Alligator mississippiensis: one gene and its partners. Each later gene encodes a partner of the first gene's protein in a complex. Links are inferred from orthologs where the notes say so. Each region holds a gene or a part of one and is shown on either strand. Other genes may lie near its edges. The genes, in order: AP2B1, ARRB1 and LDLRAP1.

Region 1 (9,998 bases):
GCTGAACCTGACAATCTTGTTCTAATGTGTTCAAACTGGATGAAGCCAAGGCTTGTTAAAATTTCGGCAAGGCAGCAAAAACTCTACTACTGCCATTAAAGTCCAAATGTGCCATAGTGCCCAGTTATACTAGTCATAAGCTGGCACCGTACATTTTCCTGCCTTTGGTGACAGTCTTTTGTGTTGGCACAAAGAGTATATTCAGGGTGTAAGAGAGCCTAGATTATGTAAGACCTGAGTTGTATGTCAGGTAGAGGTAGAGTTCAGTCCTTTCAGCTTTCAGGGGAATACAGCTTGACAAGGTGCTGCAGTTCTGTCGCATAGCCAGTAATCGGGCATCTCTGGTGACTCTTTACATAGTTATAAACACAGCGGTAACAGAACACAAAGCCTGATGTGGACAAGACGGTGTCATTGTTTCGGATCTTGCGGCAGAGTGGACACACTGTCTTCAGTTTTGGTAAGAGAGGTGAGCCTGTGCCGTGGTCAAGGTGTATGGGGGGTGGAGGAGTAGGGAGTGCAGTCAGAGATTTGATGGTCTCCTGATTTTCAGATGAGTACCACCAGTCCAGAAACTGCAGGAAGAACACACCCACAGAGAGACCAGTGGACAGAGAGAAGGCAACACCTCCCAATACTTTCTTCACTGCTGCATGCACTTGGTCCTTGATGCTGTATCAGGGAGATGAGGTATGGATAGTTAGTACAACACATTTGTTCACCTGGAAACAGTGCTAACAGACAGAATTGATGCTATGTAGTAGAGGTTCAGGGCATCCCCAAGTGGCAATGGGCTTAAACTACAGCAAAACAGATATTGATTAAACTTCATTTAAACAAAAAACCCTACTTAGATTCATAGATTCATAATGTTAGGGTCAGAAGGGACCTCAACAGATCGAGTCCAATCCCCTGCATAGGCAGGAAAGAGTGCTGGGTCTAGATGACCCCAGCTAGATACTCATTTAACCTCCTCTTGAAGACCCCCAGGGTAGGGGAGAGCACCACCTCCCTCGGGAGCCTGTTCCAGACCTTGGCCACTCGAACTGTGAAGAAGTTCTTCCTAATGTCCAATCTAAATCTGCTCTCTGCTAGCTTGTGGCCATTGTTTCTTGTAACCCACGGGGGCGCCTTGGTGAATAAAACCTCACCAACTCCCTTCTGTGCCCCTATGATGAACTTATAGGCAGCCACAAGGTCGCCTCTCAACCTTCTCTTGTGGAGGCTGAAAAGGTCCAGGTTCTCTAGTCTCTCCTCGTAGCGCTTGGTCTGCAAGCCCTTAACCATACGAGTGGCCCTTCTCTGACTCTATCCAGGTTATCTGCATCCCTCTTGAAGTGCAGCGCCCAGAATTGCACACAGTACTCCAACTGCGGTCTGACCAGCACCCAATAGAGGGGAAGTATCACCTCCTTGGATCTATTCGTCATGCATCTGCTGATGCACGATAAAGTGCCATTGGCTTTTCTGATGGCTTCGTCACACTGCCGACTCATGTTCATCTTGGAGTCCATTAGGACTCCAAGGTCCCTTTCCACTTCCGTGCCACCCAGCAGGTCATTCCCTAGGCTGTAGGTGTGCTGGACATTTTTCCTCCCTAGGTGCAGCACTTTGCATTTCTCCTTGTTGAATTGCATTCTGTAATTCTGCATTTCATACTTATACAAGCAGAGAGAGCGAACAAGTTGCCTAGGCAAGCTGTACAATCTCCTTCACTGGAAGTTTACAAGAAAACGCAACTGGGATGGTTCAGCAAGAGTGAATCCTGCAACTGGACAAGGGTTGGACTGGATGACCCTTGAGATCCCTTCCAACCCTCTGCAATTGTGTTTAACTTTTTTAAAAATTCTGTTACACATGTATGACATGTTTACAAAGCTATTTAGGATCAGCCAGATTCTTAATGCAAATAAGTCTAGGAAGGTATAACTTGGCCTGCCTGAGAAATATAGCAATTCTTAACACTTTGAAATTTTTAGATCTAGGTTTACTGTATTTCTGAGGTAGAAGAGCTTAGGACAAGAGACAACAGAAGCTTTCACCCAGGGATCTGTGTTTCAGAAGGCTCAGGTTAGCAGTACCCAAAATTCACCACTGTCTGAATAAGGTAAGTTGCTCATCTGAACAGATAACTGATGCCATCAATCTCCCTTGGTACCAGCCTCAGAAATGACATCAAGTGCTGAACATGTCAGAGACCAACTATCCTTACATGTTTCCAGCCACGCAGCTCTGCAATTAACTTCAACAAGAAGTCTACAAGACTCACTATTTCATTTATATTTAAAGTGCATTATGACCTTCCCTCTTTTCCTGCTTTTAACCTCTAACACTGATGGTTTCATTTCACAGAACCATCTGTGAAGAGAGAGAACCTGGAACATTGCCACAAAGCATTGCAAAAGCTCTATGTTGAATGTGTTAGATCAGGGGTGTTCAACCTCCAGCACACAGGTCAAATGTGGCCATGGAGCCATGGCATCTGGTCCATGGGGGCTCCCTATGGGTTGGCAAATTTGGTGGTGAGGGAGCAGTGGCAAATAATACTATTACCCCTCCCCTGCTGCCAAATTCCCAAGCCCTGTGGACCAAATTGGGGTTGGCCATGCTCCCCGCCCAGGGCCAGACTGGGGCTGAGCCACACCTATGGGCTCAGATCAAGGCTGGGCTATTCCCTAACCCCCTTCTCCCTGCCACACACAGCTGGACCAGGCCCTGCCTTGCCTGTCCCTCACACTGGATTGGGCCCATTCGCTGGAGCACTGTCTGTCTGGCCTGCAGGGCAAAAAGGCTGGGTACCACTGGGTAAGATTAGTCTATAACTTACCTGTGGCTTGCAGTAGCTGCAACCAGTTTCTTCTCCAAGGCCTGGATATCATCCACTGTCAATCTTACCAGGCGTACACCAGCCAGCCTTAGCAGCGGTGAATGGTGTTGCGTCTTACCAAGGATGTAACAGAGCTGCTGGATGAGAAACCAGCCCTCCCAGGCCATGTTTACAAATGGGTAGGCTGCTAGAAAGGCCCTGTAAAAGCGCTTCCAGGCAGAGGATGGAAGGTGGATGGAATATTCATCTTCTTCTCTTAAGCTGGAGACCAGTTTCTCCAACTTCCCTTTCAGGTAAGGAATGAGAACCAGCAGGAGGAGAGACTTCCAGTGCTGCTGCTTTGGAAGTCCAGCACTTGCCAGCCGACATGGCCCCTTGCTGTGTCCCAACACTGTCCTCTTTAAGCTATAGAAGTTTTCAGAAAAAGAAGCACTGCACTTGGACAGATAATGCTGCTGGAGCAGTAGGTCCAGGAGTGCATAGATCTCATCAAACCAAGTCCAGAGGCAGCCATAACGGCCAGGATTGGATTCAGCAAGAACCTAGTACAAGGCACACAAAGCAGAAAAGATGTCAAAGACCAGCTCATTAAATCAAAGCTGCCACAGCCCACACATCCACTTTATTAAACAGTTCAGAAACAAAAGACCAGAGGCATGATTACAGCAGGGCACTGTGAGCATCATATCTGACCCTAGCATGTCAGCTGGTTATTAAATAAGCCAGATGTGAATCTTGGCTTCCAGGGATGAAAAGCTTCCAAGCTGATGGCTGTGTACACTTGCAAGGCTTCCAGTAATAACAGTGCTTCCTCCCACAACAGGTACATGAATACACAATGTGTAAGTGTGTTTCACCTGCACAAAAAGGAGCTTGTTCAAGAGATACCTTGCCCCTTGCTGCATGGAACTAAGCAGCATTAGCAGAAGCAATATCCCTGGCAGAAAAACCTAAAATGTGCACTCATCCCTTCATGAACTAGGGAAGACCAGGCTCTCCTCAGTTCTGGCTCCGTCTCAGACTTGCTCAAAAAAAAGATTAAGTTACCAGGCCTTTCTGAGTTTCCTCCTCTGGAGACTGTTTCCCTGCCTCACTGCAGGGAAGAGGATAGGTTAACAGAGGGGTGGGCAATTATTTGGGCCTGCAAGCCAGATAAGGAGTTTTGATGAGTTGTTGGCCTGGTCAGCATCCTGCCCCCCTGCAAGCCCCCACCAGCTCACTCTCCAAGTTGCTGATCCTGTTGGCCTGGCCGTGCTCCCTGCCCATGTGGATCCAAGCTGCCACTTTGGTTTGTGTCCCATAGGCTACCGCTGCTTAGTTGGGGATCCTAGCCCTGCCTGCCCATCCTGCTCCCAGATGCTGTTCCCTGCCCATCTATGGCCCCATCCCAGCCAACTGCAGAGCAGAGCCACACTCCGCTGCCTGCACACCCCTGCGATAGGCTTTGCTCCCTCCCTGCATGCAGAACTAGCGCCCATTGCAGCTGCGTGCAGGCAGTTGATTGTGGCTCTGCTCTGCGCTTGGGCAGGATGGGGTTGCAGATGGGCAGGGAGCAAGTGGCTGGGATCCCTGACTAAGTGGCAGCAGCCCACAAAACTCAAACAGTAAGCAGCAGCTTTGTGGCTGACAGGACCAGGCAATGGGAGCACGCAGAACGCAAGGAGCTCCTGCCAGCAGTCCCAGCAGGGGCTTGACTTTCTGTGGATGCCCCGACTCCTGGCACTACGTGGAGCTGAGCATTAGCCCAATTCAAATGGTGCTGGGCGAGAGACCTAAGCAGATGGCATTTGCAGTCCACAGCATGGCTGGAAGGAGCCAGGGATGGCAGCAAAGGGAGCAGAAGTGAGAGCTTGGCAGAGGGTTGGGGCTTGGAAGCTCCTGCCAAGGTGGGGAGCGGGGGGGGGGCCTGGGCCGGGCAGGGCTGTGCGGGGCACATCGGCTGGTAAATGCCGGGTGGGAGCTGTACCGTGGGGGCTGCGCTAGACACGTGGCACGACAGGGGCTCTGTAAACGCAGGTGGTCGCTGCCGGACTCCTGTCCCGAGGTGTCTGGCGCAGGGTCCGGCCCTGCAGCCCCCGTTGGGCACCGATGCTCCTCGGGCGGGAGCGGCGGCTTCGGTGCTCAAAGCCAGCAGCTGCCCCGCCCTCGTCCCGGCCAGGGCGGCGGGAGCGAGGGGGCCGGCCCTGGGTGAGCACCCCCACGCTGCCGTGCGGATCCGCGTGCCGCCCGCATCGGGCTGACAGGGGGCCGCCCCTCCACCTGCGCGGGGGCTGCAGGGCCCCGGCCCCGGCCCACCTTGGCCACGTGGCGCAGCGCGGGCCGCAGAACCGCCATCAGGCTGTCCTGAGCCACCGCCTCGAAGATGGACGGAGCCTCCTCGCCGCCGCCCGCCGCCGTCAGGTGAGCGCCGTGCTCCGCCATAGCGACCCCGCCCGGGGTGCCGCGGGGACGGATGCGCGTAGGCCTCCACCGGGCCGGGGCTGCGCGGGGGCAGGCGAGCCCTCACTGCCGTCGGCCTGAGTGGGAAGGAGCGCCGGCCGGAGCAGCACCCGGAAGTAGAGCGGAAGGCGGCGCTCTGCCCCCCGCCGCTCTCTATGGTCTCGGCGGCGCGGACGCTCTGGGCGGTGAGTCTCAGTCGCCGGAGCCGCTCGGTGCCGCTTCCGCTTCCCGCCGTCGCCGCCGCAGTCCGGTGAGCAGGGGCCCCGGTCCCGCCCCCGCGCTCGGGTCGCCGCCTGCCCTGAGCGCCGCGGGTCCGGCCCGGCCGGGGGAGCGGGGTGGGGGCTGGGGCTGGGGTCGGGCGCCCTCCCCTCTGCGGCGGTTCCCAGCGCTCCCGCGGGTCCCGCCCGGGTCCGCCCTGCTGTGGCCCCCGCACTGTCCCGGGCGGAGGTGTGGCGGGCCGGGGCCGGGGAGAGACGTGGCCGGGACCCGGGAGTAGCCGCGGGCGAGAGCTGGAGGGCCCAGGAGGCTCCGGGCCCGGTTTGCGGCCTCCCGCTGATGCAGGGCGGGGCCGGGCCTGCCCCCCGGGTGTCAGCCCTTGCCGAGGAGAGCACCTCTCTTCATAGCCTTAAAAACATTCACCTCTTCACGAAGTTTTGCCTCCTGCAGAAGAAAGTCGGATTTCCCTTGCAGCGCTCGGGAAGAGCTGCCTCTTGTGAGTCCCAGCTCCTGTCTCCGGGCCGGCTGGGCCTCACCTGAGCTTCCCCATACTCTTATTTGGTTAGGAAACCAAATAATATGAAATACCTAGGGAAATTGCCTTTGACAGCGTGTGTGGGGCAAGCTTCAACCCAGAAGGCAGCAAAATGTCTGTTCACCCCAGGGATGGGCAGCCTTAGACCAGGTTGCACTTGGATGGTGGAAGCTGTGCTGCTAACTAAAATAACAGTCAAATCTTGTTTGGATCTGCTAACACTGTTGTGAAGGCACATGCTGTGATTACATTTAAATAAGGGCGAGCTAATTTAATGACTGCTAACGACACTTGTAGGTACGTGAGCAAAAATAATAAGGGACTGAAGTGTTCATCTTCAAGGCATAAAGGTCTCCTTGGATGTTTAGCAAGGAATTTTCCTCTGGCAGTGCACAGTCAGGTGGGTGCGTCTTGGGTGTCTGGCCTTTCTCTGAAGTACCAGGGGTTGGCTGCTGTTCATTGCCAGACTACATCAGCCAGCATTTCTGGCCCACACTGCCAAATCCTGCGTGTAATATAATGAAACTGAAGCATGGGAAGAAATTTACAGTACATCTCTTTTGGATGGTGTTAGGCCTTGTGGCCTTGTATATAGCAAAACATCTGAGTCCTCTTTCAACTGGGTTAAAATCCTAAGCAATGTGTCAGCAAGAAGATTGCAGTGGAAAGTAGGCTGGGCTTGTTTGATAATTAAAAAGACTGTGGCAGCTTCCTCTCTTGGAACACTTACAGTTTTGCTTGAAGGGATTGTTGCCAAGATTGGTAAGCTTGAGGGGTTTACATTTGATTTGATCCGGGCAATGCTATATTTCCATGTTTTTTCTAGGTGTTTCCAGGCTTCATGAATCAAAGTACTCTGTCCTGCAGTAGGCTTGCACTTGGCGTTGTGTTTGGCTCAGCCGAAACAGACCTGGAGTGAAAGTAAATTGCCCTGATTGCTATCATCCTTTCCTAACTGTTGGGTTAAGGACAGGTAACGCAAAAGGTACAGTACAAGCACAATCTTTAAGGGGCACAGGGAGATAGGGACTAACATTTGCCTTTCCTACACTTAAGCATTTGGACATCACAGTCATGCCCAGAGTGCTCCCTTGAGAGCAGACTGAAACTAACCAAGACTTGCTTACTGCTCCTCAGCTGCTGCTTCTGTTAACTCTACGGCTGAACCAAGAGCAGCAGCATTAGTCTAATCTTAAGGGTGGAAGAAAAGAAACAATCTTTGAGAGGAAGAGATGCACTAAGATGCAGGGTGTGTCTAGGGCAGTGGAACTCAACCTTTTTAGATTCAGGGCACCCGCCAGCTCTTACCTTCACTTGTTTCTTGATGGGAAAAGTAGCAGAGCAATTTTTTGCAATAGAAGAACTCGGAAGACCACAACAGGTCAGAATGGTTTTGATTTTATGGGTTCCTATTTGAAATCTTGTGAATTTTACAGGTGTTTTTACACCTAACAGTGCTAATAGTGCAGCGTGCCATTCAGTATCCTAAAAAGAATCTAATGGCACCCCAGGGTGCCATGGTACCCTGTTTGAGAATCACCGGTCTATGATTTGGAAGATGAGGTCCACAAATGATATATGGGGCTGTGTTGCTGTTCCACGCCAAATGTGTTCCCATGATTTCTGGGGCTGCAGTGTCTGCATGCTCCATGGAAGCAAAGCAACCAGACCTTAGCAGAAAGAGATCTTATTTGTTTACTAGCCAATACTTTAAGCCAACAGAAAAAGGAAACAGGCTCAATATCTTGCTGTAGGTTCTTAATTTGTTCCTCTTTAGCTAGGCAGAGTCATTGAGAAAGCAGGGATATCCCAGGAGATGTCTTTAACCCAGAAAAAAAGGAAGAAGAGTGAAACTGGGGTGAAGTAGGGTGTACTGCTCCAATATAGCAAGAGAGAAACAAAGGGAGGAGAGAAGTGTGCAGAAAGTGGGAGAGAAGATCAGGCAAAAATTGAAAGGAAAAAAGTGATTATGGCATTGTAGGGATAGATCGGATTTCAGGTTTTTGGTTGTTACCCTGATGTAATAAAATAATCAAAAGCCAGCCATAAGATCTCTTCCTCCAGTGGTCATTTCTTTCTCAGCAAGTTTGAGAGAGAGTCAGTTTCCTCATCCAGCTGGCAGCAGTCCCATTTAAGAAAAATTCAAAATGGGTCTGCATTCATGGGAAGTTGGGGCAGCCCATCTGATCTCTACATTTTGTTGTTAATCGACTTAGCTTGGTGGAAGAAAAAAAAAGTGAACATCAAAGTCATTCTGAAATTCCTACAGCAGTAAATGAATGTGTGCTCCTACAGTCTAGTCTTCATGATCAGCCTATCCACAGTAGCTGCTGAATGTGAGAGAATAGCACTACAGCAGAGGTTCCCAATCTGTGGTGCGGGTACCACTAGTGATACACAAACAACCCGTAAGTAGTACGCGTTAACAGATTTATTATCAGTAATTTATATGACAAAAATTTACTGGTGGTACTTAAGGTTGAACTGAAAAAATTGGTGGTGGTAAGGCTGTATCATTTTAAATTGGTGGTGCTCAATCTGTCGGAGTTCGGGAACTGCTGTACTACAGTAATAGGTCAAGGTGTCTGTGATAATGAGGGTGGAAAATGTTGGTGTAGAGAGTGATGGAAAGATTTCAAGCTTCCGTAAGGTTACTATAGAGCAATTTATTTTTCTTAATGTTGGGGGATTGCCAGTGTCATCATGATTCAGGAAACAAAGTGATCAAACAGCCTTGTGGTGTGTATAGAAACAGTGTGTTTACAGTCCTTTCTGTGGTGCTGCAACTCCTGAATATACCTGTAGGGGGAGTCCTACATTTTTTTTCTGTAGATCCTGCCATTGTTTGAAAAGAGTCGTGAAACCTGGATTTCTTGCTTTTAGGAATCAAAGCCATCTTTGATGCTGTCTTTTTTTTGATACAGAATATATGTATATATTCTGGAGAGAGAGAGATGGATGTATCTATATAAAAATACTCTGGGATGTCATTTGTTGGTACAGTGTGAAGATTGTGAAACTTCTGGGGAATACATCTGCAGAGCAGCTATCTTCTGTTCTGTACTCTGGCTAAATTATGGTTCTTTTAATGCATGGCTCACATATTGGGGAACAGTGGCTACAGCGTTTGTCCAAATGTTCCTTGTTCTTGCAGGTGTTCTAAGGAATTGGAACCATGACAGACTCCAAGTATTTCACAACTAATAAAAAAGGTGAGCTTTAAACTATTCTAGTGTATTGGAGGCTCCTGGGGACAGTGAGTGCCTATTTTAAAATGATGTTTTTAACTCCATACAACAGAGTTTGTGCTTCCTTATGTGCTGTGTCCCCATTTCTCTTCTTAGTCATCCAGAAGCTGTTCAAAAGTAGGCCATAAAACAGTTCCCAAACACCCAGCCCCCTCCCACACGATGACAAAAGACAGGATTGATGAATTGAACACGCTTGCAGTATGCAAACACGGCAGCCCCAATTGCCTTTTCTGGCTCTGTATTACTTTCTGGAAGGTCAGAAACAGAACTTTGGGATTTGAAACATACAGCAGCCTTTTATAGAGATTTATATACAGGGCAAAGTGGTCGGGACTGCAGGCAGTGCATTTAAAAGTGGACCTAACTAGAAGCATGCTTGGGTTAGCTGGAAGGAAAAAGCAGAGTTTAAGGATGCAGACCTGTTGTCTGTGTAGTTGTAGCCATTGGGAGTGTGGGGAAAGTTGGGCCACAAGTCTCAGATAGTATGTATGTGTTTTTAAAATATTATGGGTCTCTTCTTGCTGCCCCTTGCCAGTCCTGGTGAAATCTACCAAAGGAGGAAGACCCATGCACTTTTCTCACCTTTGTCCTTCACATGACTTCCTCTTGGGTTTATAGTAACTATGTTGGCTGCCTAGTGATATACTATAAAATGTGTTGAAAAGAGAGGTTTTTTCTGAGTAACTTGATTCATGGGCATAGAAAAGGCATAATGCACACATCAGGGTAG
Region 2 (9,779 bases), on another chromosome or scaffold:
AGTAACACAACCAACCTCCCTGCCCATGGGGCTCGTGAGCCCAGCTCCCTCCGCTCCCAGCAGTCCAGCTCCACCCTGATGGGACAAGCGAGCCCCACGCGCTGCCCTTCCCCGGGGAAAGTCAGCGTTATCCTTACTGTGCAGATGGGAAAACTGAAGGATGTGGAGTGGGTAAGTGATGCACCCATGTCAGAGCTGCTGTTAGGGTCAAGGAGCCCTCGAGACCCAGCTTGGTACACACTGGTACCCTCTTGGTGCCCAGCTTGGTACCCGCTGGTCCTGAGCCCCTCGACACCACATTGCCTCCCTCTGCAGCAGCACCTGCTGCCTCAGTAGTCACCATTACACCTGAATCCTATCTGCTGCCATGCTGACCTGAAGCCCGTCATTGCCAGCCCGAGTCAGCCCTCCAGGCGCCAACCTAGCATCTCCGGGGCATGGGCCAAGTGCCACATGCCTTCGTTGGTGGTTGCTATGCTCTGAGTCAGACTGGGACCTGCTTCTCCAGCCTTGCAGGATTTCTCCCATTCTGCCCGGCCATCCCTGGGACAAGGCTCGGACAGCCCAGCCTTGGGCCAGGCAGCCCGGGGTGAAGGCTGCATCCCCCAAAACACCCAACTCCAATGAGCTCTCCTGTGCTTGTCCTCTTTGGGCTGCTGCAAGACTCCTGCTAGCTATTACTGAGGATCAAGCAGACAAACAAGGTCAAGCCCCGGGTTCCCAGGCAAGCTGGGGCTCCCCTGCATCCAGTGAGAGCCTGCCTGGGCATCCCTGAGCCCCAGGGCCTGCAGGGCCATGGACGTGAGACTGCAGCTGCTGCCAAGGGACTCGTCCCCGGGTGGGAGGTGGCAGCAGCTGTGGATCAAGCCGGGAGGGGCTGTGTAGCATGCACCGAACAGCGGGTGACATAAGGACGAAGGAGGACGTGACTCAGGGCCTGATGTCAGCCCTGTGAATGGAGAGAGAAGGGTCCTCTTTGCAAATGCAAATCAGGGCACTAAGCGACAACCCGCGCTGTCTTTGGGTAAATGTGATATCTTTTATTAGACCAACTAAATAGTTGGAAAAATTGTTCTTTGCAAGTTTTTGGGTGCAAACGCCCTTCTTCAGCTACAACCGACACCCCCCGAACCTATGTTTTGTTGCTGCTCTGTCTGCCGGGATCGTGGCACTGCAGCTTTGCTTTCCCAGCTCATTTGTGAATGCACAGGGAGAGGAATTACCCTCATGTGCACGTGGCGCTGAGACCCATGTTTGCCGGTTAATAGTGCAGTGCCCAGAGAGGAAAGCCTAGCCTGTCCCCATGCCTATGACACGCCTGGCTGTGTCCTGCCCATCCCACAGCAAACCAGCCAGCCCTGGTCACGGCATGACGGCTCTCCTGTCCATGGAAGAGAAGAGCAGGACTATCGCTCTCTGGAGCGATGGAAAGCATTCACCACTCCAGACCCATCTGAGTCTCGTGGCCTTTCTCCTGGCCTGCCCCAGAGAAGGTGTACGCTCCAGCTTCCTTCTGCGAGCTGCACCCAGGCCTCTGAGGCCTGCCGGACCGGGTGGCACGTACGGCTTCGAGCTGTACAGCACCCACCGCACGCCAGGCTAGGCAGAAGGCTTCAACTTCCTGCACCTGGTTGCCTCTGTGCTTTTTTCCACAGCACTGGCATGCTGACAAACTCCTCAGTCCCGTGCTAGACTGGAGCAGCAAGTCCCTCGAGGCTAATGCACTGCACGGAAACATCGCCTCGCCTCCCAGGCAGACCTGCCGCCCCTTCCTGACTTCGTATGAGTTTCTGTGGTGGGCGAAGGCGTGAATGCAGGATGGCATGGCAGGGGCAGGGAGGTGCCGGGAAGGCAGAGAGGAGCCAGCGGGGCTGCCGAGGTGGCTCAGATTCACGGAGAATGAAGGTGCCCGCGTCTGGCTCCAGCGATGTTTTGCCCGCAGAACGAGGCACGCTCAGCTCCGGGTGCTTCCATCTCAGTGGTAAAACTAGACCCTCGAATCCACGGCCGTGCTCCTTGAGACCCGCCGCTCCTCGGGCCATGCACACCGATGGCCAGAAGCAAAGTGGTCGGTCTGCAGAGACGTCTGGCTCCAATCCACAACCAACGCGGTGTAGTCGGGGCCCTTCCTACACACTGACATTAATGGCGTCTTAGCCATTTGGGTTGCGGGGAGGGGCAGCGGATGAAAACGAAGCGAACGACTTTGCATCCGATGCGGCTGAGCCAGGGTGAGCGGCTCTCCCCAGAACAAAGAAACTGGATGCGGGGGTGAGTCAGGTCTGCAAATTCCCAGGGTGGAGAAATTGGAAGTCTGAAAAAGGGTTTTGTTGGGTTTTTTTTTTTTTTCCCCTAGCTAATGGGTAATCAAAGCGGGACTGTAATTAGATACGAGAAGAAGAGCATTACATATGGGGTGGGAGATAATGGAGAAGCAATATGCTCTGCCGCCCTGGGTAATTAAACCGGAAAGCTAGCGGCCTCGGAGATGCATAATGAACAGAGGTAACAACAACCTGAAATGCTCTGATTCTTGCTGCCAGGGGCCGGCGGGAGCTTCTGAAGACCCCGTTTTGCCGCTGCAATGCCCAAGAGCCAGGCCTTTTTCACGCACGTTGCAAAGTCCCCATGACGATGCCCCAAGCAATAGGGCTAAGCAAATCCCGCTAAGACGCTTGTGTTCCTTACCGTCTCCGATTTCTGCCGGGACCTGGCGTAGGGGACCTGGGCTCCAGTCATTAGCTATTGGAGAGGGGACAAGGGGAGGGGAGGTTTCACATCTCATGGTCTCTGGCTTTCCTTTCAGACACATTTGTGGCTTCTGCAGCCTGCTGCCACTAGCTCGGCCTGCCTAATGGATCGGCAGCCTCCTTGCTGCACCCTGTCTTTCACCTCTCCAAACTCAACCTTAAAAGGGTGCAGCGAGCAGCAGGCATCCAGAGGATAAAGCCCTTTTCAGACCAGCCTGCACCATACAGGCCAGAGGTGCATCTCCCTCAGTCTGATGCAGCTTCATTCGACCGGGTCCTGCCCCCCCGGCATCTGAAGCATAATCCTGAATCAAGCCATTGCTTTCCACGACATTGCTCCAGGTTTCCAGCAGCGCCAGTGGTGCCTCTTACCCCACTGTAAAGCAGGGGCTCGGTGGGTCGAGGGCCCAGGTGACTCTGTCTCTCTATTTAAAGTGCAGAGGAGGTAGGTGCCTCCCCAGGCTTTGTGGGCTCCACGCCCAGAACCAAGCTCCTAAATTTTAGGCGTTGAATGCTCGGCGTTGCCGCTGTAACTGCCTCTCCGGATCTGGCCCTTCGGCCCTCCTGAAAACTTTACACAAGGGCTTGCACAAGGGCTGGCGGAGTCACAGGAGATCTGGGGCCGGTTCCTGGCTCTGCCACAAGCTTCCCGTGCAACCTTGGGCAAGTCTTCTTGCCCCTTGCATCTATGGTGGGCAGGACAACACAACCGGTGCCTCTCCAGATGTTCGGCTCTTCGGGACACGGCCTGCTCCCGGTGGTGTGAAGAGCAACCAATGCTACGGGCCTCTGATCTCAGCAGGGGTTTCCAGGTGCTACTTTCATATAGATAAGAAGTAATAGAAGGAAATCCCTGGGAAAGGATCTCGCCGTATGCCATGCAAACAGGTCTGGACTCTTTCAGTCCCTCTCCAACAGTCACGTCTCACCCTGCCAGGAGCTCATTACATCTCATTCCCAGGACCGCAGGCTGCAGCCTGGGCCTGCACATCCCAAAGTCTTCTCACAGACAGGAAAAATAGTTCCCTGAGCCCCCTTCACACCTAGAGCTGTGGTTTTCCTGGGACCCCCACCCCAGCCTCAGCACGCACAGAAACCAGGTCGCTCCAAGCCAGGCTGGGTTCGATGGAGGCAGGCTCCCATGCCTGTCGGGATGCCAACTTCCAATTGATCGTGCACTTTAGCAACCGCCCGATATCCTGATCCTTCACACGCTGCCATCGATGGGAGGTTTGCCAGGGAGAGCAGGGTTGGATGCCTGCCCCTACCGCAGCAGCTGCCCGGGCACAGCTGGCACGGTGCAAACCCTGGCTGCACTGGTGTAAGAGATCGCTGGGCGGTCCGCAGCACGCATCCCACTGGTTTGCCTCTATAACCAGACCTCGTACCTACAGCCACTGCTCTCCCTCCTCCTACCTTCTTCCTCAACACCCGCTTTGCTGGATAAGCAGCGGGCCAGGCAGCCAGCCAGCTGGAACAGCTCCTCTCTCTTGCATTCATCAGCATTTTGTCATTTATTGCAGCACAAACATTGGGGCATGGTAATTCATTGACCAGACACCTCGTCTAGCTGCCCTGTGCAAATGCACACTCTAACTGGCGCGACTCTCACCCTCCCTTCCGAGATTCGTCGGGTCTGGTCTGAAACGAGGCAGTGGCATGAACTGTCCTCTATGATGTATTGAAACAGCACCCTGCACGCTTGGGCTTGCATCCCGGCTGCAGCCCCCGGGTGCTGCAGGCATCCTGGTCGTCAGCATCCTCTCTGCAAAGTCCAGACCCATCCAACCGCTAGCTAATGTTCCCTTCGAGTGGGTAGGATGGGCATGAGAGCACACTCCAGCCACGACCGGGGAAACTTGCTGATGTGGAAAATCTCTAACCCTCCTGTCTAATTACAGCTACGGCAAGGCTGTTGCATAAGCCCCCCCGTTCGGTACGCGCTGTCCTTGGAGACAGCACAAAGCCAAAGCACTTCTGCACCCGCATCCCGGGCTGGGCTGCTCTTTGCATTGGGAATCCCACCAGGTGAACCAAGCCAAGCAGCCACTTACCAACAGGATCCACCATGTCTATGTGGTCCACGAAGTCCCTCTTCCCAAGGTAGACTGTGAGCTGCAGGGAGAGGGGACACAAAGGGAATCAGGGACGGAGCAGACAAGCAGCCGGTGCCCATGCTCCACAAGGCCCAATCCCATATAAACCCCCCTGGTCACTTCTGTTCCACTGGAGAAGGCAAAACTAATGTTCAAATTGGGATTAATGGGGCAAGGGAGAGTGACGGCGTCTCCAAGACTCGATGTCTACAGCGGTGGGACAGGACCTGAATGTGGGGTGGCATGGGGTGGTTTAAGGGGGACACTTTTTAATACAGTTTCCAGGGGATAGTGGGGTATCATCCCTGGGGTAGCAGGTCAGGAGCAGGCAAGCTCTTCTCCATCCAGTGTGGAATATTTGGGCTTAAAGCGGCAGGACAAAGAGGGGGCTGTGAGAGTGAACTTGCCTGCAACCCTGCACAGCCCCTGAGCACCCTTTTCCTCTGTTTGCTGGCTGCCTGGCCAGGAGGGTCGGACCCGTCCTGGCAGGTCAGGGATGCTATAGAGACAGGCCTCGAGGAACATCGCAGCAGCGCTCGCAGTGTGCAATGGTGTGACCCACGCTTTCGGGGTGCAACCCACGCCTTAAGCACACAGGGCTCTCGCTAAAGATAGCAGCTTGACCAAGAGCTAATCATGGAAAGCACTGGGTCAGCAACACATTCCCCACCTGCCTCCTAGGGGGCATCGCCATTGCCATCCCCATCCCCGGTGGTACAGGAACCTGCTATCTCACCAGGCACTGCCTGCTCCGGTAGCGAGTATAGCAATGAGCAAGGCGGCTCATTCATGAGCTTCCTTCTGGCTCTGCTTTTACATCACAGTGCCTGTTTTTGACTCCTCGCTTGACCATTAGTCCTTGCAGGCGATGGATCCTCCAGCCCACATCTGGAAGGAGAGCTGGGAGTGGGAAACACCCTGCTTAGCATCCCTGTGCTGTGAGCCCAGGGTGTATCTAGAGCAGTGATTCTCAACAGGGTGCCCCAGGAGGCCGCACAGCATTAGCACCGCTAGGTGTGCAAACGGGATGTGCAAGATACACCCAGGTCTGGGACAGACATTGCATCAACCGGTTTGTTAAGTCTGAGACTACATTCGACCAGGTTTGTCTCAAACCGGTTTCAGCCCTTTTCAAACTGGTTTATGTGCCCTGAACATCTGTTCTGTTCCAGGTTTAAACCAGTTTCTGATCACTGAAACTGGTTTATGTGTAATGTCCGTCCCTAGCCCGAGATTTCAAACAGGAATTCATAGTTGGGGTCTTTTGAAGAACTTTGCAGCAGAAAACCTGCTCTATTATTTCTCCAAAAAAAAAGAGTGACAGGTGAGAGCTGGTGTTTTCCCAAGGGGGTCTTGATCTATCCAGGGGTGTCGCATGTCTAAAACCCCTGGTCTTGAGTGACCCGCCTTACTCTTCCTCGCATCCACCATCATTGATTTAGAGATGCCAGAGAATACAGCCCTCATTGGTGTGTTTAATACCTATTAATAGACTGATCATCCAAGAATTGGTCTAGCCCCTTCCTGAACCTGGCTATGCTATCTGCCCCGACAGCTTCCTGCGGCAGCGAGTCCCACAGGTTAACAACGCAGCGAGTGAAAAAGCCCTTTCTCCGAGTTCATTTTAAGCTCATCGCCTATTTATTTCAACGAGCGCTCCCTAGTTCCAGCATCTGGGACACGGCAAGTAGCAGTTGTCATTTGGTGCACACCCTTCGTGATTGTATAGACCTCTACCATATCCCTCCTCGGCCGCCGTCTTTCCAAACTAAAGAGTCTCACCCAGCCTTTCTAGTCTTTCCTAGTACGGCAGCTGCTCTATATCCCCAATTATTTGGGTCGCTCTTCTCCGTGCCTTTTTTAACCTTACTACATCCTTTTTGAGATAAGGAGACCAAAACCCATGCGAGGGTACCACCCACCCCTGCATCAGGGTTCGCAGCAAATGCATCCAACCGGGAACACTGCCAGGCTCCGGCCAGGTACATCCATCAAACCATAGCTCAAGTTAATCTGCTTATCCTGAATGCATTAATAAGCCTAATAAGTAAATCCCCTGTCTGGCAGGGCCTGTGTGGGTAGCTGGGGTATCATGTGCAGTCCCATACAGCTTTGTTGGCATGCCATACTCATTTCCAGTTCTCCTTGCAACCAAAGGAGCTCCTCTCTTGAAGTCGGCTCTTTCACCTCGGGATGAGGCCTGGTTCTTCTCAGGGTGCCAAGGTTGGATGGAGATTTCTCCCTGGCTCCATTTCTGAAACCTCCCTCAGGCCTAAGCCAATAAGTAGGGAGGGCAGAAGGGCAAAGATCTGCATCGGAGAGACATGGCTGTCAGCGGCTCTCCGAGCCAAGCTGCTGGATGGACATGCAGGCAACAGATGGTCCCGAGCAGCTTACAAAGGAGCTGAAACCGTCGGCAGTACAGGAAGGATGCAGCTCAATGGGTTTTGTGCCTCTTGCATGGCATTAGAAAAGATATACAACCCGCCGGGTTTTACCGCTGTCTGATTTTATCATAGCCCAGCCCTTAAATCCTGCTTGTAGCACAATGATCCATCTAACCCGAGACGTTTCCCCAGCGGTATCCCCAGCACGGCTCGCTGCTGGTCTGCATGGGAGGAATTTGCAGCCGCAGCAAACAGCCCCGCACATGACCAGCCCGTCCCTTTGGCTGCCTGCAGCATCCCCCTTCCTCGTGCCTCAGCCGTTGTCTGCAGGGTTGTCCCTGGGACCTGAGCGTGAATGAAAATCAGGCCCCTACCTTCCTCTAGGAGTGGAAAGCACCAAGGCATTTTTGTCTCAGCTGGAAAAACAGCCCCCCAACAGCGTGTGCTTGGTGTCGTAGGCCTGCCGGAGAGCCCTCTGACTCCAGGGGTCCATAGATGTGCGGATAGCCCTGCCGGCTTGCAGCACTCACGGCCTGTCCAGCGTGCAATGGCACTGGCACGGAGGGGGCCGATTGCCTGGCTTGGAGGTAAGGGGGGATGCTTTTCCCGGGAGGTCCCATGTCACCTGCACCCGGCTTAGCCAGACGGCACCCGGCGAGCCCAACGGGCCAGGAGCGCCAGCACGGTGCTGCTCTCCCTGCTCATGGGAAGGGGATGGTAATGAAGCTGGCAGTGGCTCCGGGAGGACTGGCAGTCCAACCGCTTGCTTCCTGCTGCGCTGTAATCACTTCTCAGGCATTTCTCTCCCCAGTTATGCCAGAGACAGAGCTCAGCAAGCGCTCGTGCAGCAGGATCCCCCAGGGAGGCACTCTCCGGCCAGATGGCACGGCGGATCGCCAGCCAGGCAATCAGCTGCAGGATGTTTAGAGAGATGCACTAAGATACCCAGGGCTGAAAGGCAGAGAGGGGAAGGCTGGCAGAACCGTCTCCCCGCTCCTCCAGCATGTTCTTATCCAGGGCTAGGGACGGGGTCACTTTGCAACAGGCTCTGCCCTTCAGGGGTCCTGCCTGCACCAAACAAGAGCCCGGGAGCAAGCTGCAAGGCGGCACCAGTCTGGAGCCCTGTGCGATGAGGATCCAGTCCTCCCGGCTGCAAAGCGGCATCCCCTCCGGGTCACACGTGTGAGGACAGAGGTGCAGGAGGGACACCTCTGATGGACGAGCGCTAAACGGACCAGACGCGGGTTCTGCCTTCTCTCTCCGTCGGTCCAAGACAGATGCGATGAGTGTTATAATCCCAGCACCATCAGGCACAGGCCTAGGAACTGTCCTGATCCTGAGACAGACCCAGGCCAGAGCGGGCAGGGACGAGGGGCACCTCTATCAGCTGGGGGATGCTCCACAAACCACCTGCAATACGAGACGACCTGCCGTCACCTCCTGCACGAGTCTTCAGTTAACAGCTGACGGAGCAGGAGATTTTGGTCATCTCTGCCGCTGTTTCCAGTAATCATGTTCAGGGCTGTCTTATATCGCTTGGTCCAATGCCCGAGAGCACACGGAGTGCGTCTCAGCGCTCTGTTAAGGACAGTGCTGAGTTTTTTTAGTGTGCCAGCTTCGGGCGCTCAGGGGCTGGTAGCATGCAGCTGGCCTGGTCCCGTGGGACGACTGCCCATCATCCTGGAGTGGGTTTGCAAATCCTTGTCCTGGTCAAAGGGGCTCTTTCGGCTGCGCATCAAGAGAAGCGATGGCGTGCCGAGCAATGCATCACCCATGCCCTGCGCTGGCTGAGACACTGCAGCGAGCGGAGGGCTTTATCCTCCCCAGGGCACAACCGCACAGCCTTCCTCTGGGAGGGAGGGACGCAGGGTGCCTCTCGCAGGAGATGAAAGGGGGTCCCACTGCCGGGCACCTCTGCGCAGGGAAGCAGCGGCATCCCCAGAGAAAGACCATCCGATCCGACGCAAACATCATCCTTTGCAGAGGCATTAAGGGCTGCCGCCTTCCTGGGCTTTCATCTCCGGTCCTTGCATTCGCAGATATGTCAGTGTGCCAGGGAACTTGCTGTCCCCTCGGGATCCTCAGAGATCAGAGCCAGATCTGTAATGAGTCCTTTGCCCTGCGGAAGAGCTGGAAGCCAGGCAGGCTGCTTAGCGCAGGAAGAGCAAGGGAAAGCAATTCACATGCAGAACCAGAGCGTGTTAGGCTAAGAGCACACTTAGATCCACTGTCTTTAGGCCCTAAGCCCTCGACTGCCTAACAGCGGCAACTCCTTTAACTAGCAGCAGCCACTGGTTGTTTCTCCGGTCCCCAGAGAAGGACCCGGGGCTATGCGGGCAGCGTGGCACACGGGTCAAGGGTTGTGACCACGGCATGCAAATACAGCTGAGCAAGCAGCCAGCAATTTAATCTGGGAGTTTAGCCATTCTCTGCTGGCAGGGAACCCAAAGGTCCCCGAGCAATTTCTCTCACACTGTTAAATGAGGAGGAGGGGGCTGGAGAGGAGAGAAGCCGTGATGAAAATGAGCACAGCAGGCTAGGCCGTT
Region 3 (10,060 bases), on another chromosome or scaffold:
CCAAACCCAAGGCCTAGTAGGAGCGGGAGGCAGTAGGATAGGTTAGGAGCAGAGGGGGTCAACCGGGCAGCTGACGCCCACATTTCATGCACGAGTTTGCTGACTTTGAACCTGCCACCAAATTAACCTGGGAAAAACCACCTGCAGCTCCCTGCCTGCCAGAAGCTAGAAGTCCACTGACAGGACCCACCACTGGCCCAGCTCTTGCCCTCGCGCACTGCATCCCACAACGTACCTGTATATCGAGACGTTCTCGATCAGTTCATTCGTTCCGCTATCATGTAAGATGATCCCTCGAGGGGACACCTTCAGCGTCACTTTCCGTAGCTTCTTCCCACTTGCTTTAGCCTTGGAACAGGAGGGGAAAGAAAGCAAACACGTGCATCACGGCAGGAACTTAGCACGATTCCCCCCAAAGCTGCACTGACACGGTGGATTAGTTACTCTAGGCATGGACCAGCTTGTTCTGGCAACTGTCAATCCTCTGGATCATGGTGTACGTGCAAGAGGTCTATGTGACCATCACCCCGAGTGCGCCTAGGCAAAAGTATGGGGCAGAAGAGGCTGCCCTAGATTTACCACCCCCACTTTAGACCACTGGGGCCGAGTCCAGGCATTCAGTGCCTCGATGGTTGTAACTTCTGCAACCAGAATGACAGAGAAGAACTGCTGCTGAGTGCCTAATGCCTCCGGCAGGGTGCACTTCTATCAGGGTGACGTCCCTTAGCCTTCCTCCAACCAAGGAGTACCCACAAGGCAATGGAAGCCAAGGTTTTGAGGCACCTTATATTTGCCTTACTCTAGCGGTTGCAGCATTGCAGTATTTTACAGGAGCTTTACCACATTGCCAGCAGGCCCTCCAGTCGGATGCAGTTTACAGTCATACCCAGGACCAACGTACCAATTAACAGCTAAGTTAATAGCACTTGTTATTATCAGAGATTTAATTTACTACAAGGTACGATAGAGCCCTTATTAAAATTTTACCTTCACCGGAGCACTGATTTATGTTGCCGTGGAAGACAGATTAGAACATGCGCTCATCTGTAAAATGCTTAAGCACTTCATTTGGGCTCTGTGCTCTCAGCAGGATTGTGCGGTATTGCTTACGGTGGCTGAAGGCTGCACACTCAGGATGGACAAAACCTCGGGAGATACGAACTCAACCTGCAAGGAGGGTTTGCATCCAGTACCACAGACTGCATGTTAGCAACCAGACCAGATGACATACCATACAAGACCTGCTGCTAGATCTGGGATGATCCTATGTGCCTAGGCTGAGCAGCCTCTGGAGCAACAAGCCTAGACCTACAGTAGGTTATTATCTTTGGTTTAAGTTGCCTTAAATCTCCCCATAGGGCAGTGAGTCTCAACCAGGGTGCCACAGCCCCTGGGGTGCTGTGAGATTCTTTAAGGTGCCGCACAATACCAGCACTGTCAGGTGTGCAATCGCCTATGCATGATTCGCAAGATGAATCCAGAGATTTCAAAGAGGAATCCAGAGTGTCACCAACATCCTGACCTGCTTGGTCTCCGCCGAGTTCTTTGCAACAGGAGAATTGCTCTAGCATGTTTCCATAGTCAAAAAATGGATGAAAGCCAAAAGGCAACATATTACAAAGGGGGTATGGAGTCTAAGAGGGTTGAGGACAATGCCGGAGGGAAAAAACATAACTAGGGCCTGACCCTTGAGTTATTCCTTAGGGAAAGGCCCACTGAGGCTCAGTTATGCGCAGTCTACACAGCAGATGACGTGGCACAGGTACAGCTCCGCCAGCTGGAAGAGACTGTCTGTTGTCAGCGTTGCCCCAGCATCCCTGGATGTCACACTGCCCGCTTCCCTGGGCCTCTGCTTTGCACCTCTGGGCCACCTGTGCAATATTTCTAGCCTTTGTGTTAGCAGAGAAAGACACCATACAAAAAAAAAAGTCACACGGCTCCAGCAGCTGGGGCTTTACCCCCAGGTACATCAAGCCAGCCACAAAATCCAGTGTACCGTCTCGCCGTCTCTCCAGATGAGGAATGATGCTCCCACACTCGTGCACTTTGCCCTGTGAGACCTACACTCAAGCAGCTGCTCGCCCCCAGGATCGGGCCCTTCACCCGAGCCTGGTTTGCAGGTCAGTGGACTGTTCCTGTGTAGCATTAGCTTGACCACAACCAAATGCTGGCAGACAAAACCTGCTGCTGCAACACTGGCTTTTCCAGAGAGCAGCTTTGCTCCCAGGTCTACACTCAGTGTTACGAGGCCCTAGGGATTTTTGTTTGGCAACAGTTCGTGGCTGTTATCCCCACTGCCAGCCTGTTGCCCTGGCTTGCATCAGCCACAGGCTTAGCTGCTTTAAATGTATTCATTTATGTATTTATTTCAACCGCCATTAGATTTAGAGCCAAGTCGAGGTCAGCAGCAGATCAAGTGCGCTTGACTGGCAATGTGTTGCATGCAGCCACTTGCAGCCCAGCGCCACGAACCTGGGGTTCGTTCTACCTTGTAGGGGCAGAGAAGCCCCCTCGGGACAGCTCAATGCCTCGTGCACAGACCCCTCTGAGCTGGCTGCACTGCGGGGAGTGGATGGGAATAGACTATGACAGGGCTCCACGATGCTGTACTGGGACAGAAGAGACATGCAGTCGTGGAAAAGCCTCAAGAGTGGTAGATGCGTGCCCATAGTGGGAGCCTGGGGGTATGGTGTCTTGGGTACGGCCCAAAGGTAATTAGTGCCGAAGTCTGGCCTCCTAAGTGCGGGCCACAATGCAACGAACTTGAGAATGGGAAACATGACCTCTGCAACGGGAATGTCCCTGCTTCCACCCCACCGGTCTAGAGTATCCCAGCTGGAGAGGCTGCTGGTTTCCTAAACAGTGTGTGGCAGGTGTGGGTTAGGGGTAATTAATGGCTTGAAATACCACAGGGACACCTTCTCTTCCCATGACGTTGAGTGGAGAGAGCTCTAGCTAGATGAGGCATAGCACTTGACACAACTTTTAATCCCTTCAACCCTGCCCTGCAGCCACCCTCCTTAAGTCTCATGGGAAGATCCTTGAAAGGGAGGTGTATAGAAAAGGTCCTTTAGCTCATGTGGTTAGAGCACGGGGTTAATAACACCAAGGTTGCAGGCTGGATTCTCTGGTTGGACTAAATGATCTCTTGAGGTCCCTTCCAGCCTTCCTTCTCTATTGAAAATACGGAAATAGATACATGCAGGATGTCTATGAACAGCACTTGTCGCGCACAAACTTCGAACAGGGAAAGAAGCTTCTGCGCTGGTGGCAGGGAGCTCCTTCACTAGGATCGGAGCTAGTCGAAAACCCCATCCCGACACTCACCGTTGCTACTATTCTCTTGACAGCAGCAGCTGAGAGGTCTTCTCCTTTGGGCTCTTCCACCAGCGTCATGCCCATGTACTTCAGGTTGAAGAGCATCCCCTCCAGCAGGGTCTCCCTGGTGTCAGTCCAGTTTTCTGGCAGTTCTAAAGGAGATTATAATTTTTTAAACAAGGGATTTCACTGGGAAGTCATGCAAACACACACCAGCTGCCTCCTCTACCTTACCTGGGTGTCGAAGGGAGCAGTGCAGCACATCACAGCCAAAGCTGTGACCAGAGGGACTGGAAAGTGCACCAGTCATTGTATCTTAAGTGACTGCTACTCCTGGCGACCCGCTCACCGAGCTCTCCCTGCACAAAGATTTCAGGTATCTTGGCTTCACTCAAGTAGCCCAACAGCGAAGACCGCAGAATTAAGGCCAGTTCGCTGGGAGACACTCAAGAGCAAGATGAAAGACTCCCAGGCCCAGTTCCTTGTTGCTCTGCTTGACCTTAAGAACTAAGTTTGTGACCAAGGAGGGAGATAAAGGTGACAACTGTACCCGCTCACAGGAGAGCAGGCATCTTTCCTCAACGTAACTTGGCTTCAACTCCAAAGCTTAGTAAGCAAGCAACGAAAACTTGACAGTAAAACTAGAGAGGCTTTGGGAGCAGAAGGCCAGTAACACGGCCACGAAACCTCCACCTTCCCAGGGCCTGCTCACACCCACGCTAACTAGGAACTCCAGGCCAGACCTACAAGGGGATTTAGGCTCTTTACCCCATCAAAATCAACATAAGGCACCAAATGCCTTTGCGAGCCTTCCCCGCAATTCCCTCGGGTCCCCGCTGCCTTGTCCCCGGACACTTCAGGAAAGGTTTCTTGCCAGTGGCCATGTCACTAGGGTTAAGTCTGAAAAATAACTTTGCTCCGGCTGAGTCTCCAGAGGACAGCGTGACAGAGGACATGGACACCTCTGCACTTGCCTTGTGCTGCTGTCTGCCTTCCTCCCGCTCTCCTGAACAGAGCCCCTTCAGGCCAGCCAGTGCCCTATGACTAAGGCCTGTTAAGCGGACTGTCATTTAGCAAAATTTGTGCCAGGATAATTGCACCTTAAAAGCCACTCAAGAGGCTTAGAGCAGCACAAGCCAAGAGCAGGGACTGGAGCAAGGTTGCCGTCCCAAAAGCCAGGCAAACCCAGGACAACGTTCCTCCGTCTACTGCCCACCTCCTCTCCTCTGATGACGGGAAGGCAGAGAGTTATTTCCAAGCTGGTATTAATTCATCCCTCACTTTCTACGTCAGCGATAGTCCATGCTCAAGTCCTGGTATAGGAGCCCTATGACCAGAGGAGAGCTTGCTTATGCTATCAGTTGGCCTCTGCTGGCTGACTTCACTATCAGCCCTAAGCAGAGAGGAGGAGCAGATCACCCCAGCTTCCCCATCAGATACCGACTGGAAAGCAATTGTAATTCAGCACGAGGAACATGGTCTGAACGGTACAGAACATTCTCAGTTATCTGAGTCCTTTGGAGATACCCGCTGAGAACCTGCCTGGATAAGTGAAATCATGGCATCTTAGGAGGAATTATACATGCTAACACACGACGCAGAAGGTACAGCCGCACCAAACCCAGCGCATCCATTAGACAAAGGAGAACATACAAGAGAACAGTTTGTTCTCTGTACCACTGTACATCGCCAACCAGCTGAATGACAACTTCGTTACACAACACCAAATTACAAGCTGGTAAAAAAAACCCCAGAGCAGGGCAAACTGCTTCTTTAGCCAATGAACTGCAGGCCCCAAGCCATGCAGATGCCAAGGCATGCTAGCATGGGGCACTTTAGGATTAGGGTGAACATGGAGATTAAAAAAGCCGAGCTCCTGAATCACAGAGACGGGGCCTGAGCACTGTTAAAAGCCACTGGTTTTGCTGTGCTGTCGTGCAGGTTGGCTACCCCGGGCTACGCGGGATGCTGGTGCGAGTGGATCCTCCCCTGTTCTACCTGCTGTAGACAAGGCGCGGGAAGTACTTCAAGACCAGATCCTTTGCTAGGAAAAAGCCACACAGTTCTCGTAAACTGGGCTGGCTCCACTGACTTCAGCGGAGCTAAGCAAGCCAGGGACATACCTCTATTTGAGAGAGCAAGGAGAGATCATGTCCATGCACTGACTGCCTATATTTCTTAATCGGCTAAGGGCCAAAGTGGATGCTAAGGCAGGCTCTCATTAGGTGCAGATCTGAGCTGGCAGCATTTTGTTCTCTGGTTTCCTGCTGCTGTGTCAGGTACAGACCCCCTGCTGAGCGAGTGGGCAGGAGCTAATGCTGCAGAGACTATCACCCCGGGAGCTATAGACTGTAAGAGGCACATTGTGGCACTGAACAGAGGAAGCAGGAGGGGAACAAACACCCGGGTGTTGCCGAAGAAATGCCAGCCGTTCAGTCGCGCTCAGCACAAACTGACGGCTGCTGACGGGTGCGATGCATCACGGACTTCATTAAGCAGCTGCTCCAAAATCCACCGCAGCATCAGGGCGCTCTTGGATGGAAGTGCCCTTCCTGTCTCAGTGCACGCGGGCTAACCCAGCCGCAGCTGTGCCATTTCAAGCCCTCCCCGAGGCCTGTGCTCCCCTCATGCTGGGGGCACAGGCACTGAACATGCACTTGCAGACCGATCACGCTATGACAGAGCAACTCCCTGCCAAGCCCTTCAGCGTGCAGCAGGGTCACGGGCAGGAAGGCACACCCCTCCGGCAGGGCAGGGCTGCCGGGAGCGCTCGGCAGTGGGTGTTCACTGCCGAACGGCATGATGCAGCCTGCACGCGCCATGCAGTTTACACTGGGAGGCAACTCCATGATGACACGGGGCAGGGAGAGGGAGCAGCCTCCCTTCCCGTGACGTCACTAGGTCGGTGACTCAGGTGTCACGGAGTCCCTTGCTGAAAGGAGGAGCAAGGTGCTGGGTTTGGCCCTGACCTGGCAGCAGCAGGGAGCGGAGAGAAGCCCAGCTCAAGTCCCCACACCCCGTGGGACGGGCTCCAGTGACTCATGTGGAGCCTCAGAGTAGGCAAGAGATGCAGAGACGATTGCTAACTTACCCGCCAGAAAAGTGGAAAGCCCCCACGTAAACACAGCAGCTGTGTGAAACTGGCCGTCACACCCAGGCAGGTCACTTCCCACGCCCGGGCAGTGTGTGTGCGCAGCAGGGCAACACCTCCAGTCCAGACCAGTCCCAGCGGAAGGAAGGGGAACAGGACGGGTCCCTGTGGGGTCGGGTGCTCTGCACGGAGAACTCGCTCCAAACGCCAAGCAAAGGAGTGGGGTCCGTGCGGCTCCGTGCCCGGGGTCTCCACGGGGAAGTGCTGTAGGTGGGCTGCAAAGGCAGCTCTTTGGGGGTGCGCTGACCCTCCCTTCCCAAACATCCCCGGGGCCAGGTGGCTCTCTGCACATGACTGCCAGCGCAGGCGGCTGTGGTGTTTCAGGCAGGCTAATTAGCCCAACCATGACTCAAGTTAATTAGCCCAAGTGCAATGCCGCAGAAACACGGCTGTGCTGCTTCTGTTCCAGGACTAGCGTGCCGGGTCTCCGCGGCACACCCAGCAAGCAGCACACTGGGATCCAACATGTGGAGACCCGCTGGCCTAGGGGGATGAAGCAGTGTCCTAGGACTCAAGAGACCTGGGATCAATGCCCAGCTCTGTCACTGGTCTGCTGTGTGATCCTGGGCAAGTCACTGCACCTTGCCTCAGTCTCCCCATCTGGAAAAGACAAGAAGACTGATGCGGAGCTCTTTTACGAAGCAGCTGGAGATTTAGGGAGAGAAAGCGCCCTACCGAGCTGCGGGGGAACATCTGTAAGGTGCGGCACACGACGCTCGCCTGCATTTATACTCCACAGACTCCCCCTGCCTCCCACCCTATACGGCAGCAAATCCAAGGCTGCCCTCGTTCTGCGGGACAGGGCCGCCGGGAGCTGCCCTGTGCTTGCTGCAGCATGCACAGGTGATGAGCTATCAGGGCAGCAGGACACGATGCCAGGAACAAATGCCAGACACAGAACCAGACAGTCCTTGCGAAACAGAGCGGCATTCCCTGCTCCCCAGCCCCCCACAGCTTTTCTGAAGGGCCGATCATGCATTATTACACAAAGGCTCCAGTGCAAGGAGTAGCCTTCGCTCGGCTCTTTCAGAGCTGAAGTCACCTTTACGCTCCCCCACCAAAGCAAGACAACAGAAGTCCTGGGGAACCTGCTGCGCCCAGCTCGGCCAGGCCTTCGGCACGGCCTCGCTTCCAAGCCAAGCCAAGCCAAGCCAAGAACCCTATTTCCACAAAGGATGGGAAAAAAATCCCTCTCTTTCCCCAACTGCCAGTCACTTGCAAAATACAGCAACGGGGGTTTTCATCACCCTGTCCATCTTCTTGCTTAGTGGTTCACCAAGGCTGCTGGCATCAGCAACCACAGGTCCCACAGCGAGTCCGGACAGGCTGCCCGCGAGGAGAACATGCAGACAAGCCCGTCGGAGCCGCTGCTTTGCAAGGAGACACGCAGGGTGGTCGGCCGTGGCCCCGGCGGCAGCTTAGAGACCAGCCCCTTTGCTTCTGCTGGGCACGATGGTCCTTCCCCACCCCCCACATTCCTCCAGAGCCGGGAGCCGGAGCGGCAGGGAAAAGCTGGGCAGGTTTCACGTCCAACCGACCAGCTGCGCTTTGGCAAGAGACATGAGTCATGTCATCCCTCCGCTGTGCCATCTGCTCTGCCCTGCAGAACAGATGGACACTGCCCAGCGACCGAGGGGAGCTGTATTCATGGCTGCTCGAGAGAAGACGAGGTCAATTCTGAAGGCAGGCAGGAGACAAGGAAGGAGCATGCCCAAGCAAATCAGCTTTAAGGAGACAAGTCTGCAATCGCGCTGCAGTGCTGAAGCCATCGAGCACAGGCACAGGACAGGCTTCTCACCTCCTGCTCCCAGGCAGAACTGACGGGCCCCTGCCTTTCACGGGGAGGTCAGGAAAACGCCGTCGCTCTGGGGACCCAGAAGCCAGGCGGTTGTACTATAGGGTGCAGGCCAGAAGCAGCGGGAGTGGTGGCAGCGGTGCCACGTTGCAACCTGGGGGGAAGGAAAGGGCACCAGAACCCAGAATCCGTCTCCTTGCCTTCCTCGCAAGCCGGCACAGGATCCCCTTACAATCCCGCGTGCTTTAGTAGCGCGCGCTTTCCTATTTCGAGGACCGGGAGACACCGCAGGAACTTGCAACTTAAGACAGCGAGATTGCCCTCCGCCTCCAAACAGAGACTGCGCTGCGGGAATCTCACCTCACCGACAGGCCCTCTTGCTTGGCTTGGCTCAGTCCGAGTCTCCCGACAGCCTCGGTGCCAGACAAGCTGCTTTAAGCTGTGCTTTGTACAAATATTCCTCCTCCCCCAGCCCTACGCTGTGGCTGTGCAGATGACCTGCTCTCCGAGTTCAGTGGTGAGCCAAGGACAAGCCAGCCGCTGTGTTTAACCGTCTGCTTACAAATAGGATGCAACTAGAGCAAGAGTCCATCAGGAGCTGGGCATCCCGCTGTACTGATAACACCACCCCGCAGAGCCCAGAACAGGAGCGCTGGGGCAGGGGTCACCCCAACACAGTAACCGGATCCTGCCTGAGAGCAACATTTGGTGGCTGCACAGGGCCTTTTTTGCCTTCAAAGCCCTTTACACCAGGATGTCCAACTCATCTGGCCCCGTGGGCTGAATGCGTGGTGCACGGCTGCTCCACGGCCATGCCAACTCCAGCACACAGGGCGCCTGTTCCAGCCAGTCCAGGACCCAGGATGCACACAGCACCCACCCCGGACCGCGTGTTATACGCAGTGCACATCCAGGGCCCTGCATGCACCGTGTCAATCCAGACCGTGGACTCAATGACAGGGCTCCGCAGGATCCGGCCCGTGCACTTTATCTTCAACACCCCTGCTCTAAACACATTCGAACTTGCTAGGATCAGAAAAGCCAGCCCCGAGTTTGGAGTCATCCTGGCCTTGTTTTGAGTTCCTGGTCGAACCCTGCCTGTCTCCACGAGAGCAAGGTCACCGCCGTGCCCTCATCCTCTTCCACTCACTCCCCAGTCGTGAGGCCAAATGCCACCAGCCTGCCCTTAAGACCGTGTCTGCAGCACTTGCAAGCACAGCAACCAGGAAAACGCCAGCATCGATCGGAGCCTGGAAATCCAGCAAACAAGCAATTGCCGCCAAGAGATCCTGCAAAAATAGTTCTCTCCTGGCAGGTATCTTTAAAGCCGCGCTGGAATGTCACAGCTCAGGAATGTGCTGCCGGATCTGTCTGAAACCTGACACGTAGGAGGCACGACTCTTGGCATTTTTGCAAGATGGGCTTGCTTTGCTTTAAGTTTGCCTTTGGGTCTGGACCCTTTAAGTGCCCGAAGGCTTAGGCCTTTCTGCAACACCGAAGGCTGGAAGTTTTTAAGTTAAACTGAAGTTTAAATAAGTCACAAGACTCCAGGAGCTGGAGCTTTGCTGCTCCCCTTCCATGCAGCAAGAGACTCGTGACAAAGTCCTGAACGCCGCCTGCATATGCAGCAGTGAGGAATTGTCCACGTGCTGCGGTGGAGTGCCATGAAGACCTCTCCCCGTCCCTGCAGCTGCGCTGGGCCAGCCCCGGGGTCCCAGCACCGCACGTGCCGGCAGCTGGGAAGGAAAGATTATTTGGGCCTGAAAGCAGGCAATGCCCAAGTGCCGCAGCGCTCA

Evidence for each region.
Region 2: the proteins of AP2B1 (region 1) and ARRB1 are in contact, whole or in part, in a crystal structure (PDB 2IV8), measured with the Homo sapiens proteins. The link is inferred for Alligator mississippiensis from reciprocal best matches to the Homo sapiens genes AP2B1 and ARRB1. Residues at the interface, in NP_001273.1 of Homo sapiens: Arg834, Gln835, Phe837, Leu838, Trp841, Lys842, Asn846, Glu849, Ile876, Ala877, Arg879, Val881, Glu882, Gln884, Tyr888, Glu902, Arg904; in NP_004032.2 of Homo sapiens: Asp384, Asp385, Val387, Phe388, Glu389, Phe391, Ala392, Arg393, Arg395, Leu396.
Region 3: the proteins of AP2B1 (region 1) and LDLRAP1 are in contact, whole or in part, in a crystal structure (PDB 2G30), measured with the Homo sapiens proteins. The link is inferred for Alligator mississippiensis from reciprocal best matches to the Homo sapiens genes AP2B1 and LDLRAP1. Residues at the interface, in NP_001273.1 of Homo sapiens: Arg834, Gln835, Phe837, Leu838, Trp841, Glu849, Gln851, Ile876, Ala877, Arg879, Val881, Glu882, Gln884, Met886, Tyr888, Glu902, Arg904, Ser915; in NP_056442.2 of Homo sapiens: Asp253, Leu255, Asp256, Ala258, Phe259, Ser260, Leu262, Ala263, Gln264, Arg266, Thr267.

The regions. Positions count from the first base shown.
Region 1 is NC_081837.1:26,709,051-26,719,048, forward strand, and holds the start of AP2B1 (AP-2 complex subunit beta), read left to right. Parts: upstream 1-5,430; 5' UTR 5,431-5,516; intron 5,517-5,642; exon of another isoform or gene 5,643-5,978; intron 5,979-6,014; exon of another isoform or gene 6,015-6,417; intron 6,418-6,843; 5' UTR 6,844-7,002; intron 7,003-8,327; exon of another isoform or gene 8,328-8,425; intron 8,426-9,171; 5' UTR 9,172-9,192; coding exon 9,193-9,229; intron 9,230-9,998. Other genes in the region: PEX12 (peroxisome assembly protein 12), read right to left, coding at 273-672, 2,828-3,369, 5,123-5,248. UniProt on the Homo sapiens protein: Component of the adaptor protein complex 2 (AP-2). Adaptor protein complexes function in protein transport via transport vesicles in different membrane traffic pathways.
Region 2 is NC_081824.1:478,358,692-478,368,470, reverse strand, and holds the start of ARRB1 (beta-arrestin-1), read right to left. Parts: upstream 4,550-9,779; 5' UTR 4,535-4,549; coding exon 4,363-4,534; intron 4,111-4,362; exon of another isoform or gene 2,813-4,110; coding exon of another isoform or gene 2,689-2,812; intron 1-2,688. UniProt on the Homo sapiens protein: Functions in regulating agonist-mediated G-protein coupled receptor (GPCR) signaling by mediating both receptor desensitization and resensitization processes.
Region 3 is NC_081829.1:3,555,183-3,565,242, forward strand, and holds the start of LDLRAP1 (low density lipoprotein receptor adapter protein 1), read right to left. Parts: upstream 3,644-10,060; 5' UTR 3,629-3,643; coding exon 3,553-3,628; intron 3,471-3,552; coding exon 3,328-3,470; intron 349-3,327; coding exon 236-348; intron 1-235. UniProt on the Homo sapiens protein: Adapter protein (clathrin-associated sorting protein (CLASP)) required for efficient endocytosis of the LDL receptor (LDLR) in polarized cells such as hepatocytes and lymphocytes, but not in non-polarized cells (fibroblasts).